4 linked regions of the Coturnix japonica genome follow. The protein of the gene in region 4 interacts with the protein of the main gene of each other region in a pairwise test. Links are inferred from orthologs where the notes say so. Each region holds a gene or a part of one and is shown on either strand. Other genes may lie near its edges. The genes, in order: YAE1, HMOX2, NUDT21 and CEP126.

Region 1 (4,418 bases), on a different chromosome or scaffold from region 4:
AAGAACCTCAACCTTCTCCTTATCTGTTATTACCTGCCTGCCTGCATTGCTCATTGGGAGTATAAGCCTTCCTGCACTTGTATTCCCTGTATTCAAAACCTGAGCTAAGACTTCTCATGCTGCTTGCTTCGGATAGACTTATAAAGCACTTTTAAAATTAAAAAATGAACAACAACAAAAACCCAAGCACAACCACATATGCACGTGCATCTTCCACACATACCTTTCACGCGGACAGACTCTTAAGAGGTTTGTAACTTACTTCAGGGTCCCTTTGAATTGACCACACGTAACCATCAGCTCAGCACCTTGTCTATAACCTTGATTGAAGCCTTCCTGAATTGCAAGCTCTTTCCCAGCCTCAACACCATCTCTATAGCCCTCCTATAACAGAAGTGGTAAAACACACTTTTCACAGCCTGCAGAATTGGACCTACAAACACTTCTACAACAATAAAAAACCTTAAGCACTTAGTCTCTTAAATCCAAGTTTTTTTTTTTTTTTTTTTTTTTAATTTGAACACTGCACTCAACTACACCACTGCTAAAGCAAAACACATTTTTTACAGTGCATTATAATTTACTGTTAATGCTGCTGATCTGTTAACATGCAGTTCATTTCTAAACAAACCTCCAGCTAAGTCAGAAAATAAAGACTTGTCTACAGGAAAGCACTTTTACTTTTGTGCTGACCAACTCCCTTAACAAAGTTTCCTTGGAGAATTGAAATTTATTTCTTTCTCCTCTAATCACATTACCATACATTTATGTTCTTCACCCACAAGATAAGCCCTAGTGGGCCCAGTTTGAATGAAAACATCTGTCAGAGAAACCCAAGTTTATGTATTTGTTTTGTTCTCTGCTTTCATAAAATGTATTTTTCACTAAGATAATAAATAAGCCAAAAAACTACTCAGACCTGAAGTAGTTCACACCAAATATTAAAAAAACAAACAAACAAACCCAACAAAAAAACACCAACAAATATCCTCTATTCTTTGTTAGCATCAATTAACCTACAAGTATGAAGCAAGTAGGTTACATGAGAATTTAGCACTGCCATTCAGAAATGCACATAGTTGTGTAGAGGGAGTCAACATCTTTTTTGGTAAAACATTACTTTGTCCTGACAGGCTACTGAAGATAGTAACTTCCTCTTAAATTTTTTTTAACACTCAGAAGAAACCAAGCCACAATAACTTTCATACAGCCATTCTTAGTTTTCTCATTTAAATCAGCCATATTTTTAGCAAGATATGTTACTGGTAAACCTAAAATATTTTAAAAGACTATAAAAATCATGCTTAGAGAAATACCTTCAATCTTTTTTTCATGGTGTTATTCCATTCTTTCTGTACTGGATACATCTCATCTGCATCTTCATCAAATATGTCCTCATTGGATCGACTAGCTACAACTTGTACCCAGGACATAGCAGCAGTGATGACACTTAACTTTTGTTTATGGCCTAAAGCAAATACTGAGAAACTCTCAGAAGTCTCCCAGCTAAGTGTCAGATTAGAAATAAAAGTAAAAAACATGAGTTCTGAAGAGAAGCCGTATCAGGGGATGATTATTCAACCTGTACATTCATTTCCATGTGAAAACTGGATGCTATTCCTCACTGGAGCTCATCTGTCAAAGGAGACAGAAATTATTACCAGTAAAGCACCTTGTGTGATTTACAAGGACAACTTAAGACTAATTTCTTCCCTTCTTTGCTTCTTATGTCAGCAACAAACAGAAGTGCACCAAATTAGCATTTCTATATGTTGCTAGTAACTTGAACAGCAGACAGAAACACTTATCCAGAGCTATAAAATTTTGATAGCAGCCAACAAATAGTCCCATGCAGCTTCTAAGCAGTGCATTAAATTATATGCATATCTAATTGCCTGCAATATTGTGATCTTGACAACTGATGATGAGTTGCACCTTTGATCTTCAGTTTCCTAACTCTGCCAGATGCTTAATGCTTGTAAATCCTGAATAAAAATATTACTTTTTTTTTTTTTTTTTTTAATAATTAGTTAGCAAGTTCTGATGTAAAGAGATGAATAAATAATGTGATTACTTCATCTTAGGAACTGATAAGACCTTAAGAGGCCATTCACAGTTAACTGGAGCAAATTCTTACAACCCACAGAATGGTGGATACAAGGAAGTGTGGTGAAATCACGCTTCTGGGTTCATCATATCCAATTTTTATCTTAAGCAAATCTTCCAGAATTTCCAGTACCATTACACAGAGTCTTTTGGAAAGCATTAAAGCAGTTAAACAACTGGTCCAAGAACTGCAGTTCTTCTTATACACAAAGTTCACTAATGTGAACTGACTGCTTAATCAGCTTATCCCTCCCAATGTCCAATCAAAAAGTGGTGAAAACATCCAAGTAAATACAACTTTACAACAGTACCTCAGGCTTGAGAGATTATTTTTCAAGATATTCAGCAAGACAGCACTTGCTACCAGATGTTATATTTCCTTAAACCATCTCTATTAAGTGACAGCTTATTAGCTCCAAAGTGAGTTTCACAAATAGCCCCTACACAAAGAGCAGAGAAGGGAGAACAAAATGCAGCAATTAATGGTGTAAGGTAGCAGGTGCGGGAAGGAAGAAACTGTTCGGTATGTCATAAGAAAAGTGAGCTGGATAGATGAGAGAGCTGTACACCTGGTTCTCTATGATAAGATTTCAGAGTGATACTGACTGCAGAAGATACCAACAGCATTTAAGGCCCGCAATCCCCCAATGCCAGCACGTCCCGGCACACCTGGAGACCAGCAGGAGGAACCTGAGGGCCCTACGGGAGGAGGCACAGCCTGGCCCGGGGGACTCCAGGCAGAGGCCCCTCGGCCAGGCCACAACCCGCCATTTCACAGCCCGGGCTGGCGCCGCAGCTCCCCACAAACTGCAGGACCGAGAAGATCTATCCCTCTTCCGACCTGTCGGCAGCCAGAATCCCCCCTCGCCGGCGCCATCTGAGTCCCCGCCGCCCTCAGCCCTCACCACGGCCGCCGAGTCACGGCGCTGTTCCGCTCGCAGGGGGCCGCCATCTTGACTGAGGGCACGCTAACTTCGCTGCCCCGGATGCGGCCCGTAAAAAGCCGCCATCTTAATCAGCAGCACCGTGACTTCCAAGTCCGTCTGAGTCACAGGACGCCGGCAGCCATCTTGAGTAAGGGCATAGACTTACAGCTTCCGCAAGGAGGCGGGCCGGGGAGGGAGGACCTTGCCCCATGGAGGGAGTGCGAGCGTGGTTGTAATGGCAGGACTGAATGTGGGTGCTCCTGCTCGGGGCTGCTGCACCGGCCCTACTTCTTGCTTATCACCTTATTCTTTACCCTCAGCTGCTTGATATTCTAGGAAAGGTGTATAAGTCATACCTCAGAGTCAGTGTGAGTTTCCCATATTCAGATTATCTCAGTTTAAATGCCTTAATTTTACCATGGTTGATAATTCTACACACGTCTGTTTAGGACAAATCCTTGTGCATATGAGGAATAATGATGAAGGCTCATATTCCCATCCCTTTCTTTTAGAAGCAGATAATTTAGTGACTCATATTGTGTAAACAGAGCAGCACTATTGGATTATGAAGTGTACTTGCTGAAGACAAGTTAATTGTATGCTGACGGCCTTGACATGACTACTAGCAGGGCTTGAGAGTGAGGTGTAGTGCCTCAGAGTGGGGGCGTTTTCCTAACCTGTGTGTGTTCTACATAAAGCAACATCTGGGTATTATGGTGATGTTTTGCAATGACACATACCAGAGGATTAAAACACATGAACAATATTTCACAGGCTACAGAACTGTTCTGGCATTTCTGCAGAATATGTATATAAGAAGAGTTATCCCCCCCCCACAGTGTGAAAAATAAACAAGGAATTGATTTGTGATTCATTGCCATTTCTAATATTAAAATCTGGATAATTTCAGTCAGATATCTGGCATACAAAGGTACCTTAGAACCATAAATGCTTGGCTCAGCAGTTACTCTCTGCTCACCTGGAGGGTGTGGGGGGGAGTTTTCAGGGGGCCATTACACAATTGTGCAGAGCTTAGGATTGTTAAGGCATTCTTGGAGATGACTAGGAATTGTGTTTCCCGGTGGCGCAGTGGTAGAAATGCCGCGTTGCAACAGCTTAGGGTTGGGTTCGAATCCCCCCTGTGGCGCAAGTGGTAGAACTGCCGCTCTGCTACACAGAGGCCCGAATCCCGGGGGGTTGGACTCGGTGATCTTTTAGGTCCCTTCCAACCCGCACGAGACTATGAGACTATGAAGGATTTTTATCAGTTTGATCTTAGTGTTAAGTGCTGCCATTAAGCAGTCAGCCAGCAGAGATATCCAAAAGTAAAGTATATGAATGTAAAAACCTTTACAGTTATAACTGTGCATAATGCTTCTGATAAAG
Region 2 (4,636 bases), on a different chromosome or scaffold from region 4:
CTTGAGCTTTTCTGACTGGGGCACCAAAGGTATTGCATTAATCATAGAATGGCCTGGGTTGAAAAGGACCTCAAAGATCATCTGGTTTCAAACCCCCCTGCTGTGTGCATGGTCACCAACCACCAGCTCAGGCTGCCCAGAGCCACATTCAGCCTGGCCTTGAATGCCCCCAGGGATGGGGCATCCACAGCCTCCCTGGGCAAACACTGAAGATGAGAGCCCAGTGACAAAATAGGGCATGAACACTCTTAAAGGGAAAAAAACAAAAACAAAAACCATGTATTTCTCCTGAATTCTGCTGGTTCTGCATGTTTCCACAAGCTCTCCTTCTAAAAACTTATTATCTTGGATCACAGCTACTGCACTTACCTGGAATTCAGTACAGGTATCAACACCTACACCCACAAAATTATGCCACAGTGCACCTAACCCTGTTTTTATGGCTGGTTTGCAACAGGTAACATGTTTATATCAGCTGTAAAAAAGATGTTTTGAATGCTCCATACTCATGCATTTAACAGGCTGAACACAACAGGAAAGCCAGGGAGTGGTAACCTCCATGAAGCTGAGCCTGTCAAGTCAAAGAGCAATCAGCTCACTTCAGTATTCTGGAACCACCCAACTCACCATTCTCATATAAGGAAAATTTTCCCTATAAAACACAGTTTAGAGAGCAGCTGCACTGTGTATAACAGCACACAGCTATTTGTTGTTTGGAGGGATAACCAACCATTCTGTTCAGACCTTTGAAGAAGTTCTGCAGAACTTGCTCTGCGTACATCACCTTACAGGAACAGCCTCTGTTCCTTTGCAGCCTTTGCATTTGTTCCTATGCTGTAGGAACATCTAACCCCAACTGCAGGGCAGCCTCAGTCTTGGCTGGACTGGTTTTCAGCTGGAGAAGACCACGTATGAACAAGGAGATCACTGAACTTGAGCTTGATATGCCCTGCCCAAACCCAGCTCTGTGCCACGTTACCAGACAGTGCCAGCAGCACCCACCTGACATTGTCATCTTCCACATCCTCATAGCGTAAGCTTTCCCCTTCATCTCCTCCTTCTGAGCTCTCCATAACTGACGGCATTGCTGGTTTGTTCTGGAGATCAGAGACTCTGAAAGGCAAAATTAGAGAGGGATTTTAGAGGGAAGCTGCCTTAACAAGAGCAATGGGGAAGAAACACAGAGCAGACCAACAGGGAGCCCTGCAGCTGCACCACCATGCAGGGTGGTGAGGGGCAGCCACCTGATGTTTTTATAGAAGCCTTCCCTGCAACAGAGCAGATAACATTCCAAAACAGAGGTAGATTTTCTTTCTCATACGATATAACAGCACACACAAGAAGTACCCAGAGCCAGGAGCAAGACACTTGGCTTACACCAGCTGAATACTCTGGCTTGGCCATAAATCCAGGCATCCCATTTATAAAATGGAGCTGTAATCAGCTTTGTGCTGATTACTCCCCCAAATTACAGGCAGCCTTGGCAGATGAGCAAGGAGCTAAGCTTCCTGCTGGCTCTTCAGCAAACCATGGCTGTAAAGGAGCCGGCTCCCCTCCCAGTGCTGGGTTCAGGCCTCCCTGGTAGGCTGCATCTGGGGACAGGAGGAGAGCAGATCAGACAAGCAGTTGAGAGCAGGCCAAGCAAGTTCATACAGAGCATGAGCTGGCAGAACAGTCAGTGGCTCCACACTCATGAGATGCAAAAGCAAAGGATGCTAGTTATAAATTAACCACCCTCCAGTTCCTCACCTACTTCTAAACCTCTCAGGAGCCCTGGACACCCTGCAGAGCTCTGTCCCACGATGCAGCTGCTGGTCAAAGCGATGCTCACTTGGAGCACTCCACTCCTCTGAGAGAGGCAGTGACCTACACATACAGAGCTCCCAGCAGCTGCCTGCTTGTGCTTCATGGGCTGGAGCACTGCTGCATTTGCTATGAGGCTCCTGGCTGACATTCAGAGTAAACACAGTCACCAGCAGCCTGCCTGGGAGGGATCCAGCAGCCACAGGAGTCAGGACAGCAGGGCTGGAGAAGATTTGGTATAGAACAGCTCAGCTCCAAATATTTCTTTCCCAATAACAGCACTCGGCCCCTCCTATAAAATACCTCCATCTCATCCAGCCAGCAGTTTGTTTTCCCCCTACACAGCAAGCTTCACACTCAACATGCACAGCTATTGCTCTCAGTGCAGGCAGAATAAATAATTCTATGCCTTCTAAAGGAATCCAAGAGACACTGCTGCAGTAAGGAAACAAGAGTGGAAGTCCTGGCTTTGCTTGGGCACTCTCATGAGTTCAGTAACTGACAGGACAAGCACTCGACACAGAGTTCATCTCTGCTATTCAACCAGCACACAGCTCCAAGGCATTCCCCAAACACACACGGCTGAGCTCCTTGCTTTAAAGCATCTCTGAAGGGGAAGGCAGACCCCAGAGATGGGATCTTTGATTGAGGTCATGACCAAGGAGCCCACAGAACAAATGGCTGCGTTACCAGATCCCACCTGGATTTAAGGCTCCACCTGGATTTAAGCCACGCTCCAAGCCCAATCAAACACTGTTTATCTCCCAGAGCTGCAGCCCAGCACATCAACGACTGAGGAATGAAGCACCTATAGAGAGCACAGCTCACTTGTCCAGCCCTGCCTTCAGGGGTTATGTTCTCCTATGGGCTGTGAGGGCAGCGCAGTGACACACACAGACATTAGAGCAGCCCGGAGCATCCTCGCACCCCGCAGCTCCCAGCGCTGAGGCTGATGGAGGTAACACAGGATGGACACGGGGAGGCCCAAACAAGGCCCCGACCCACCCCCACCCTCAGCACCAGGCCGCAACCAGCCCACCCAGCGGGCCCAGCACCCACCGGGCCCAGCACCCACCGGGCAGCGCTAGGAAGGACCAGACAGACACCTCGACCACCCCAGGACAAGCCCAAGGCCTCAGCAAGGCCTCAGCCCTATTGCGGCCCAGCAGCCCGGCCCGCCGCCACCTCAGCGCGACCCCGGCCCGGCCTTGTTGCCATGGAGACGCGGCGCACACTCACCCGCCGCCCGCTCGGTATGACAAAGGGCCGCAGCTGCCGGGCCGCATTTACCCCGCGGGGAGAGCTGTGATTGGAGGAGAAGGCTGTACGTCACAGCGAGGGGTGGAGCTTCCGCTCTGCCCCGCCTCACCGGCAGCCAATGGGGACACGGGGCGTCACGGCAAGCCCCGCCCCCTCGGTTTGATATTGCGCATGCGCCGACGGCAGCGTGGTCAATCCTTATCACATAGGTCAATCCTTATCACTTCGGTCAATAGCAATACATTTCCATGTCGCCTCTTCACACAGACTATGTGAACTCCACATTGTGCACAGCTCCTCCTGCTCTCATCCAAACCCAACGTTTCTGCTTAGAAACACCCCTAAAAGTCCCTCGGGAGACATCACTTATAGCTTAGTATTATTTCCTTCCGAATTATTTATTGTATATAAATCAAATAAAACCGAGGCAGTGCTGGATCAAACAAAATAATAAAGACGTTCCAAATACATAAATACATTCAAATCAAGCTTTTGCTTCTTTTGATTATTGCGCCTGTTTTGCTGAGTGAGAATCTGCAGACTCAGAGCAAAATCCAAAGGTGTTGTAAAAGTTAATAAATAAGGTGAAATAAGGTGAATATTTAGTGTCCGAGGCTTCCCCAAGAGACCCAGACAGTTTCCAACCAAGGATCGGTTCAGTTTGGAAATGAAACAGGTCCACAAAGATCAGGACATGAGAACTGCTGGAGAGATCCATTGGTCACTACAACATTGTCCTTAAAAAAGCCACTGTTGGGATCACAGGCTACAATGATAAGGTAAAACAGTGCTCAGAAAACGGAGCTGGTAATGTCTTTAGCACCAATGTCTGCATGTAAGTGAACACACGCAACTGAACGTACAAACCTTAATGGCTTCTACCTGACATCTGGTGTCACAGAGCACTTCGGGGAGCCACCACAAATAGAGCAGAAAAACACCTGCACTGTGCTGCAGCCACTTGTGAAACACACATGGGTTATTGCAGTCAGTACTGGAACATGAAGGGTTCAGGCCAAGGCTGGGGCAAATACCATGGCAAGCACCACTGGAGGAAGCAACCACCTCAGAAGCACCAACAAGAAGAGATGCTGGGGATCTAAAACCTGCTAAAATGGTAAGAGAAGAGAATGCACAGGATGAAACTCAGGGAATGTAAAAAGGCTCCTTGAAAGAGGAGTTTGTGCAGCTCAGAGGAGGGCTGAGAGCTGAAGCTCAGTTCAGATCCATTCTCCAGCGTGTCATCTGGACAGCAGGCCACAAGGAGGAGCAGTGCACCCACTGATCACACCACCTCCGCCAGCACCAGCCTGGAATAGGGTTTCCACCTTAGGAGGAAGGCCTCCATGTAGGAAATTTTCAGGATAGAGGAGTGGGATCTATTCAGTATCGTTTCCTCTTTTTTTTGCTCCCTTTTCTCTTCTGTTCCTTCTCTTTCCGGGCTCCAGCTGTGGTGAAGGTGATGCACTGAGCATCTAAGAAGTCCAGCAGCTTTGCCTTGGAAATCTTAATACCATTCAGTTTCAACTCTGCATGTAGGTCAGCCAGCTCAATAGGTTCATAGAAGAGAATC
Region 3 (4,585 bases), on a different chromosome or scaffold from region 4:
TGAGCAGTTGGTTGCATAGAAGACTTACAAGCAGTACAAGTGTTCCTTGCCTGCCATAGCAACGTGCATGCAAGGGGTGAGATAGCCTGGATGGAACAGCCACCATCCAGGGTTGGAATACCAGCCTTGGGCCCTGCTGCAGCTGCAAGCAGCATGACCACAGTAATGGGGAAGGGTCAGGAGGCGTTAGGGACAGGCTGTGGTTCACTGGGTGGTGGGCTCAGCCCCAAGCTCCAGAGCTGAGGGAGCGCTAGGACGCTGCTCTCAGACTCGGGGTTTGGGTGGTGCCATGTGGAGTCAGGAGGCTGGTGGGCAGACTGACCTGTGCTCTCATACTTGGCGCAGGAGATGTCAATGGAGGGCTCCAGCTCAATGTGGGTAACAGCCTCCAGCCACGCTCGCAGGGTCCCGCTCAGCGCCCGCCTGGGGAGCAAAGCACAGGGTGAGGCAGGCCCAGGATGTGCTGCCCCGTGGACCCTGCTGCCTTACCTCAGTGCACTGACGTGGGGCTCCGGCCTGGCCCCCAGCTCCTCGGACTGCGGCAGCATGGGGAGAGATGGAGAAAAGCATTGAAGAAGGTGCTGAAGGAGACCTCACGGCTCTGCAACCCCTAAAAGGAGGTTGTGGTGAGGATGGGGTTGGCCTCTGCTCCCAGGGGACAGTGATAAGGTGAGAGCGATGGCCTCGTGTTCTGTCAGAGGGTCAGGGTGGCCATTGGGGAACATCTGCGCTCTGAAAGAGCAATGAGGCAACGGCACAGCTCAACGGGGAGGGGGGGGGTGTCAACCATCGCTGGGGTGTCCCAGAGTGGTGTTGCTGTGGCACTGCGGGCTGCAGGCAGTGCGCACTCTGTGCTCTATGTCGCTCAGTGCACTCTGTGCTCTATGTCGCTCAGTGCACTCTGTGCTCTATGTCGCTCAGTGCACTCTGTGCTCTATGTCGCTCAGTGCACTCTGTGCTCCCTGTCGCTCAGCCCCGCTCCCGTCCCGTCCCACCTGGTGCACTGTCAGCAGGTCGTTCCGTCTCTCCCTGTATCCCAGGCCCAGCAGCTCATCGCCCAGCGCCGCCGCGAATGCCGGGCTGGCCAAGAGGCCGCGCAACACGCCGTGCCGGAACGGGGCCCGCTCCACCGCTACGGCCTCTGCGGGGACAAAGCGGGCGGTCAGTTCGGCAGGCGGCAGTAGGATGAAAGCCGCTAGACCCCCCCTAGGGCCCATCCCGTACCGTGCCGGAGCGGCTCCCCGCCGTCCCAGGCCGCTGCCGCCCGCTCCCGTAGCTCCACATCACCGATGGCTGCACACAGCTCGGCCTCCACCTCCCGCCGCCCGCGCTTCTCCACACCGCGCCCGCCCGCCGCTCCGCGCCGCTTGGCCCCCATGCCGCCGCCGCACACCGAACTACCAATCCCAGCCGTCCCTGCGTGTGCCGAGCCAATCAGAGAGCGTGGGGGGCGGGGAGAGGGGTAGGGCGCCCTACGATTGGCCAGGAGGGACGACTCAGCGGCGGGCGCCGTCGGAAGTGGAAGGCGGGCGCTTCCGGCAGAGCGGGGCCGCTTGGCCCGCCGGGAGTTGTATGGCGGATCGACTTCCCGCCGCCTCCCGCCATGTCCGTGGTGCCGCCCAACCGCTCGCAGACCGGCTGGCCCCGCGGGGTGAACCAGTTCGGGAACAAGTACATCCAGCAGACTAAGCCGCTGACCTTGGAGAGGACCATCAACCTGTGAGGGCCGCGCTGGGGGCGGGAGGAACCGGCTGGAACCGCTCGGGGGTCGGAGCGGGAGGGGAGCGGTGCGTGATAGTGATAGTGACAGTGATAGTGATAGTGATAGTGATAGTGATAGTGATAGTGATAGCAATAGTGATAGTGATAGCAATAGTGAGAGTCCGGAACGGCGGGGAGAAAAGGGGCCTCACAGCGCTGCGGGAACAACCAGCCGGGGGGACACACACGGCCCCGCCATCAAAGGCTGCACAGGCACCATCCGCTGCTCGGCCACCATCGGGGATGGAGCAGCCCGAACTCTGGGCGGCCGCTGAGTAAAGAATGTTCCCTCTTTTAGTCTTAATTCACTTCATCTTATCGCTGCCTGTGTAAAAAATCACTCTCCCTATGGACCTGCTACAACAGCTCCGTACCCTTCCTATGCTGGGGGACACAAATTCTCCAGGTGGGGTCTCGTGAGGACAGAGCAAAGGGGACAGTCCCTTTTCTCTTCGTGTTGCCATCCCTCAGTTGATGCAGCCTTTCTCTTGCCTTTCCAGGCTGCAGCACACTGTCTCATGTCTCATTTTTCATCCATCAGAAGCCCCAAGACCTCTGCAGGGCTGCTCTTAGTGAAGGCTTAAAGGGACAAGAGAGGAGCTTCCTCTCCCTTTTCTCCAGGCTGCGGAGTCAAAGCAGGTGGCTGCAGAGTAGCTGTAGATGCTTCTGGTTGTGTTTGCCTGTTTCTGGGTTGGCACCATGACAACGTATCCCACCGGCATGACTTCCTGCCCTCATGAGCCATGGTGCAGCCCTTGGCATGGCATGGGGTGTGCAGTGCAGCATGCAACCCAGACCTTGTAGTCCTTTGCAATGAGTGAGTTTCTGCTCCCTCGAGTACAGAAGGCTCAGCTGCAGGGTGAACACTGCGTGCTAGAGGTGTCAATTTAGCTTTCTTATTATGTAGTAATACTTTTTTTCCCCTTTAGGTATCCTCTCACCAATTACACATTTGGCACAAAGGAGCCCCTTTATGAGAAGGACAGTTCAGTGGCTGCTCGGTTCCAGCGCATGAGAGAAGAGTTTGACAAGATTGGCATGAGGCGGACAGTGGAAGGAGTTCTGATAGTGCACGAGCACCGGCTGCCCCACGTGTTATTACTGCAGCTGGGGACGACGTTTTTCAAGCTGTAAGTGCCTGCTTCTTGAAAGCACCTTCTTAGTCCAACCAGAAAATTACAGACCTCTTGAAATGTACATATCGCAAAGTAAGATGTGGCCAACTCTGCTTGGTGTTTTTAATGAGATTCATTTGTTCCAAGCGCATGGTTTGTGAGAACTGTTTTTAAAATGATGAAATTTCCCTCTAAAATGTATTTATCTGACTCTACTCGTGGGTAGTGGAGAGTTGCCTTGGTTCTAAAGTCTCTGGAAATCTTTGTTGCACTCTGGTAGGTTCCTGTTGGAAGCCCTGCTGGTAGTCAGGGTTTGGTCTTACACTGTGCAAGCTGTTATGCTTAAATACACTTATGCTACGGCTGCAAAAATGGCAAACCCTGGGAAATGAGTAGTGGTTATGAATTTACAAACTGCTGGGTCAGCTGGGTATAAGAGGGACAGGAATCTCAATTTGTGAGGGAAGTGCTTCAATTATTCCAGTGTTATCACAACTGGAAGGAAGTTTTGGTCATATGATTATAGTGGTGGTCACGCTTGTTTTCTTATTTTAAAATGGTTCGACTTGGGACAGGTGATTCTCCTTGTATTCTTGGTTTTATGTTTTTAACATTTGCAGTGTTTGGTCTCAGGTGAGGAGTAAAATTATCTCTATATCCAGATTCTTTTTTGATATGGGGCATGTATGTAGATGAAATAGGCACATTGTTTGCCTTTGCAAACAACTATGACGAGAATGTATCTTCATTTTTCTCATTATCCTTGCATGAAATGCAGGATAATTCTCCACTTGAGTTTTATGCTTCCTGCACACGTCACTAAGTACTGCTTTTGAGATTAGAACAAGCACAGCTGGTGTTTACAACCCCTTCTTCAACTTCAGTGCTTTTCTATTATTGTTAAAACTTAACCTTCTAAGTGTCTCTATCATTATTATGTATATTGTTATACTTCATCCCACTGAAGTTATTATTGTTGGCCTGTTTTGCTTTGTTTTGTTTTTTAAGGGGCACGTAGCAGCCATTAGAGATGGTCTTGGTGAAATCTACCCTATTGTCTTCAGATTGGGCATGGTTAGATTTAGAACCTCAAATGCAAAAACCTTGAGTGAATTTGTAGCTGCAAGCATGGAAATGTGTCCAAACTTACCTGTGAAAGTCTGCTAACACTGTAAAACATAACTCTAGCTTTAATCATTGATTATTTTAACAGACCTGGTGGTGAACTCAATCCAGGAGAAGATGAGGTAGAAGGGCTCAAACGCTTAATGACAGAGGTCTGTTTTCTTTTGTTATGTCGCAATACTAGAATGTTGTGGAATGTTGAATGATGTTAGAGTTAGTAGAATAGCCAAAGAACTGCAGCAGTCTCCTCGTCACTTGTCATTTTAATGCTGTAAAATGTTCTCAGGTCACTAACAACAAAGTATTACAGTAAGCTCTCGCTTATCCTCATGAGAGTGTAACCCAGTGGTCTGTCTTCCCCCCGAGTCCTGTGTTCATGTGCAACTTGTGTTTTGGGCTGTCATCAGATGTGCAGCAGGATACACAGCTGAGCACAGTGTGAGGATGACAACTTGTTTTTGAGCCAGTTTTCCCCACGTTCTTAACAACTTTATCAAAACGATTGCTGTCAGGTAGTGTCACTGCATTTCCTTCTTCTCATTGGTCTTATGGCACTCAGTTTGGCTGAATGTAGTGTGCAATTC
Region 4 (4,649 bases):
AGGCTTTTATCATTAAACTGAAGGTGTTTTCCTTCGTGGGGTGGCAGAACACAAGATTTGGTTGTGAAAGCAATTTTAGCTTATGTCCAAACCTCATTTTGCTCCACACCTCTGGGATATGTCACATCTGAATTACTTTCAGAACAAACTCTTGAGTGTCGCCTCAAACAAGGACAGCCAACGTCCTACATTGGTCTCAGTGCTGTGTTCACATCCACCCCTGTCCAAACCTGACATACACTGGAAATTGCCTTTACTACAGTGAGATTTAAAAGCAGTTGCAAGTGGGGGATAAATTCAGTGTTAAATCCACATATTATTCCATTTTTTAGTGCAATGCTTTGTTTCAAAATCAGTAGTTACAGGGCAGTCAGTGCCCTTAACTGGCCCATTCCTCAGAAGGGAGCATTCACATGGAAGTTCTCTGTGACATTTTTAACAACTTCTGTTAGTCGGGATCCAATGTAATCAAATGTTTAATCTGTTCTGGAATACTTTATAGCCTTCCAAGATAGGAATTCTGGAATGTTACCAGTGCACCAGTTGATGCTTGCTTACAAAGATGCAGGTTACGATCCATGCTACAGTCTTGGGGAGTTAAGGTGAAAAGGTTTTCTTTGCTGACTATATGTGACACTAAGGTTTTCACTCCTCTTCCTATACACAGAAGTAGGAAGGGATGGCAAATTTCAGGAAGGAATGGTTACAATGGGCAGATCCTTGGCTGAACTCCTCCCCTACACAGTTAAAATGAAACCTGGAAGAAAGCTAAAGGGCATTAGCAGATTAATCCCCCCTGGAACAAGAAGGAAAGAAAAATGTTCCTGCAGCAGCATAGCTGTGCTCCAGCCTTCAAATCAGATTAGTAATAAATTCAGTCTGTCCCACAAAGATTTTAAAGTTGATCTTTATCCTTTACTGGAATATCTGTCTCCAGCTCACATTAAAAGTTATGAAACTTCTTCCAAATCAGCTGCCAGAGCGGGATCTTCCATTTTGTAACCATTTGAGATCGAGCTGTTTGCTAGAATAACCATCCAGCTCTGCAGTACATGGTGCTCAGCTTATTCACCAAGAAAAGCAGCTAATGACCTGGAGGAGGCTACAGAGTGGGGCTGTGAAGAAGAACAAAGAGGAAAAGGTGTTAGAAGAGAGAAAGAAAGATTTGAAGACCATTCTTAATACTGAATTTAAGAAGAATTCAGTTACGAGTTTTCCTGGATAAGATAAAAATATACAGTAAGACTGAGAAGTTTAAATTCTTTCTAAGCATGACATAAGCTCAAATTTGGTAGCTGTTTTACAGCTGTGATTCAGTCCCATTTGCATGACTCTTTTCTCGGTGAAGTCTTTTATGGTATCATTTACAGGCTGAGAGCTGGGGCTGTTCAGCCTGAAGAAGGCTCTGGGGAGACCTGAGAGCAGCCTTTCAGTATCTAAAGGGGGGCTGAAAGAAATAAGGGGACAGACACTTTATCAGGGTCTCTTTTGATGGGACAAAGGGAAATGGTTTCAAACTAAGAGACGAGATTTAGACGTAGGAGATGAATCTTAGTTAGGAGATTTAGTTTTTTGTGGTAATAGCAGTGAGGCACTGGGACAGCTCGCCCGCTCCGCTCCGAAGCCCAACCGAGGCGGCTCCCGGCAAACCGCCGCCCCTCGGCCCGTCCCATCGGCCGCTCCCCGCCGCCCCGCCCCGTTGCGAAGGAAGCGGCGTCTCCCGTTGCTACGATGGCGGCGGTGCGGCCACAGGAGCCGGGCCGCTCCATGGAGCCCGGCGGGACGGACGGCGCTGCGCTGTGGAGGCGGCACCTCCAGCGCTCGGCGGGACGCGGGGCGGGCGCGGAGCTGAGCGCGTATCCTTCCGCGAGCGGCGGAACCGCCGCCCTCAGGAACTGCCTGACCGGGAATGGCCGCCCGCTCCTCGCCACACGGCGGGGTGGGCCCTGTGGGGCCGGGGGTGCGGGGCGGCTCTGTGACAGTGCGGCAGGGTGGCAGCCCACATTCCCAGCCCTAGTTTTTGATGGTTTTGATGGTACGGGGCACAGGGGGCACCATTTGTATGGTAAGAGGCACGGGGTGCCCAGAGTGGTGGTGCCCCGTCCATGCAGACACTACTGGTCAGGCTGGAAAGGGCTCTGAGCACCTGATGGAGCTGTAGGTGTTCACTGCAGGGGAGATGGACCAGGTGGTCTTTAGGTGTCCCATCCAATTCAATTTTGTGATCCTGTGATGTGTTAAATTTACTGTAAACAGTAAAATGTAGCTACGTTATTATTTTTTTTTTCCAGATGAACAGTGAATGAATTATGGCCATAATACGTATCTCTGGGAGCAACTGTTGTGTAATTCACCAAACAGTCTATCAGTGTCTTGAATGTGATGGGATAAAGTTTGCCCTTTGCTCACAAAGGCACATGAAGGTCCATTCAGCAGCTTCTGCATCTGTCATGAGCTGCTGAGACACGGCCAGCACTGTCCTTAACACAGAGCCAGGGACAGAGCTGTAGCAGTGCCCTTGGGATGGGATTTAGAAGAAGAACGCTGGGCACTGAAAGAAGATCAAAGGCTGCATCGGAGCAGAGCAAGGAAGTACTTGATGGAGACAAATAGAAGAAGGAGGTGAGTAACAAGGGCTGTTCTGTGGGAGGTTAGAAAAAGCTGAGACAGAAGTTTGAGACAGGTCAGTGTGTTTCTGCAATGTGCACGTTCACTTTGCTGAGCAGCCTCACTGCTTTTCCCAGAGGAATTGAACCTGGGCATAAAAAATTCACTAAACCTAAAATAAATTATAAGGGAACAATATTCTGAGTTCTACTTTGATGGACCACATACACACGTTGTTGCTCTGACCTTGCAGACAGTCTTTATAGGCAGCAGATAGTATTTATACTGCTGTTTTAGCTCCACAGATGATTGACATACTGTGCTGTCAGCACACATTATGGAACACAAAGAAAAATGGATGAGGAAGTACCACTTGGGAGCGATTAAAGACCCGCAGCCTTTGCAGATAATATACCAAGCCTCAGCTGAAAGATTAAATATCTTCTTTAGTTTTATGGAACGGCAGCACTGTAACACTACACATCTCAGCTGAACACTATTTATCATGTTACCTGTCTTGAAATATTATTTGCTGATGGAAAAGCAAACAGAGACAACCTGCATATTTTTGACAGACTGGAATAGCTAAACTAACACTTGCTGATATGTAAATACATTTCCATATTCATTTCAGTATGGCCTTAGGAGTATTATACAGTATATAGGAGTATTATACAGGGCCAAATTACCCAGGTGAGCCAGTTAAAAAAATTAGAACGTTATTTCCATTTGTGATAATTGAGAATAAGCATCATAAGTGGTTCAGATGGAAATCTGTGAGGACAAGTATTCTGCTAAATGTAAATAAGGCAGCTGTCAAATTCCAAACCAAGAGCCATTGTGGCTATGTCTCAAATCTGCTTGTGAGCCAAGAACGATTATCTTTGTAACATGCTGTGGAGGTGCTAGCTATGATGACTCTCAAGGACTGTGTGACTCCCTTAAGCTTCGAGTTCTCACCTGGCAGCACCTTAAATATGCTCTGACAGGGCTTATATGCTTATAGGCAAGCATCAGAAGTTATTCTTGGCACTGCTACCTTATGTTCTCAAAACTGGAATTTCCTTTCATTATTTTTCTTCTTTCAACATATGCAGCATAAATGGGTACAGTGTGAAATCCTGCAGTCTTATTGCTACTTCTAACCTTCACGCAGAATGGCTGAGGTTGGAAGAGAGCACTGGAGGCCATCTAATCCACCCCCTGCTCAGGTTGCCTCAGAAGCAGGGTGCTCAGGAGCACATCCAGGTGCCTTTGGAAGGAGCAGACTCCACAGCCTCTCTGGGCAGCCTATGCCAGTGCTCCATCACCTGCACAGCACAGAAGTGCTTCTGGTGTTCAGATGGACCCTGCTGTGTTCCACTTTGTGACCACTGTCTCTTGTCCTGGCACTGGACACCACCAAAAAGAGTCTGACTCTTCCTCTTCGCACCATCCCTTCAGGTATTACTGCACATTGATGACATCCCCCAGAGCCTCCTCATCTACAGGCTCAACAGGCCCTACTCACTCAGCCTCTCCTCACAGGAGAGGTACCCCAGTCCCCTCATTATCCTGGAGGCACGCCACTGAACTCTCTGCAGTATGTTCATGTCTCTCGTGTACTGCAGAGTCCAGCACTTTACTGCAGGTGTGACCTCACTAATGCCAAGTAGAGGAGAAGGATCACCTCCTTCACCCTGCTGGCAGTACTCTGTCTAACGCTACACTGTTAGGGGTCTTTGCTGCAGAGGAGCATTTCTGGCTCACGTTCAGTTTAGTGCTCAGCAGGACCCCCAGGACTTTTTCTTCTATTCTCCTTTTCACCGTGATGCAACCCAGCATATACTTCTGCCTGGGGTTGTTTGTCCACAGATGCAGGGCTCTGCACTTCTTATCAAACTTCATGAGATTTTTGTTAGCCCATTTCTCCAGCCTGCTGAGATCCTTCTGGATGGCAGCAGGACCCTCTGGCATATCAGCCACTCCTTCCAGGTTAGTGTCATTTGCAGCCTTGCTTTGAGTACACTTTTCTCCATCAACCAGATCATTTGTGAAGATGT

What was found.
Region 1: the proteins of CEP126 (region 4) and YAE1 interact in a two-hybrid assay, tested with the Homo sapiens proteins (2 studies listed by BioGRID and IntAct). The link is inferred for Coturnix japonica from reciprocal best matches to the Homo sapiens genes CEP126 and YAE1.
Region 2: the proteins of CEP126 (region 4) and HMOX2 interact in a two-hybrid assay, tested with the Homo sapiens proteins (2 studies listed by BioGRID and IntAct). The link is inferred for Coturnix japonica from reciprocal best matches to the Homo sapiens genes CEP126 and HMOX2.
Region 3: the proteins of CEP126 (region 4) and NUDT21 interact in a two-hybrid assay, tested with the Homo sapiens proteins (2 studies listed by BioGRID and IntAct). The link is inferred for Coturnix japonica from reciprocal best matches to the Homo sapiens genes CEP126 and NUDT21.

Annotation. Positions count from the first base shown.
Region 1 is NC_029517.1:76,799,497-76,803,914, forward strand, and holds the start of YAE1 (protein YAE1 homolog), read right to left. Parts: upstream 3,113-4,418; 5' UTR 3,012-3,112; exon of another isoform or gene 2,948-3,011; intron 2,887-2,947; exon of another isoform or gene 2,776-2,886; intron 1,636-2,775; 5' UTR 1,542-1,635; coding exon 1,317-1,541; intron 385-1,316; coding exon 263-384; intron 1-262. UniProt on the Homo sapiens protein: The complex LTO1:YAE1 functions as a target specific adapter that probably recruits apo-ABCE1 to the cytosolic iron-sulfur protein assembly (CIA) complex machinery. May be required for biogenesis of the large ribosomal subunit and initiation of translation.
Region 2 is NC_029529.1:10,967,953-10,972,588, forward strand, and holds the start of HMOX2 (heme oxygenase 2), read right to left. Parts: upstream 3,142-4,636; 5' UTR 3,090-3,141; coding exon 3,043-3,089; intron 2,986-3,042; exon of another isoform or gene 2,879-2,985; intron 1,114-2,878; coding exon 1,003-1,113; intron 1-1,002. Other genes in the region: structure-specific endonuclease subunit SLX4, read right to left, coding at 4,447-4,636.
Region 3 is NC_029526.1:522,937-527,521, reverse strand, and holds the start of NUDT21 (cleavage and polyadenylation specificity factor subunit 5), read left to right. Parts: upstream 1-1,531; 5' UTR 1,532-1,603; coding exon 1,604-1,719; intron 1,720-2,690; coding exon 2,691-2,891; intron 2,892-4,089; coding exon 4,090-4,153; intron 4,154-4,585. Other genes in the region: prolyl 3-hydroxylase OGFOD1, read right to left, coding at 323-423, 490-536, 996-1,141, 1,225-1,378. UniProt on the Homo sapiens protein: Component of the cleavage factor Im (CFIm) complex that functions as an activator of the pre-mRNA 3'-end cleavage and polyadenylation processing required for the maturation of pre-mRNA into functional mRNAs.
Region 4 is NC_029516.1:163,548,871-163,553,519, reverse strand, and holds the start of CEP126 (centrosomal protein of 126 kDa), read left to right. Parts: upstream 1-1,608; 5' UTR 1,609-1,731; coding exon 1,732-1,856; intron 1,857-2,496; coding exon 2,497-2,622; intron 2,623-4,649. UniProt on the Homo sapiens protein: Participates in cytokinesis. Necessary for microtubules and mitotic spindle organization. Involved in primary cilium formation.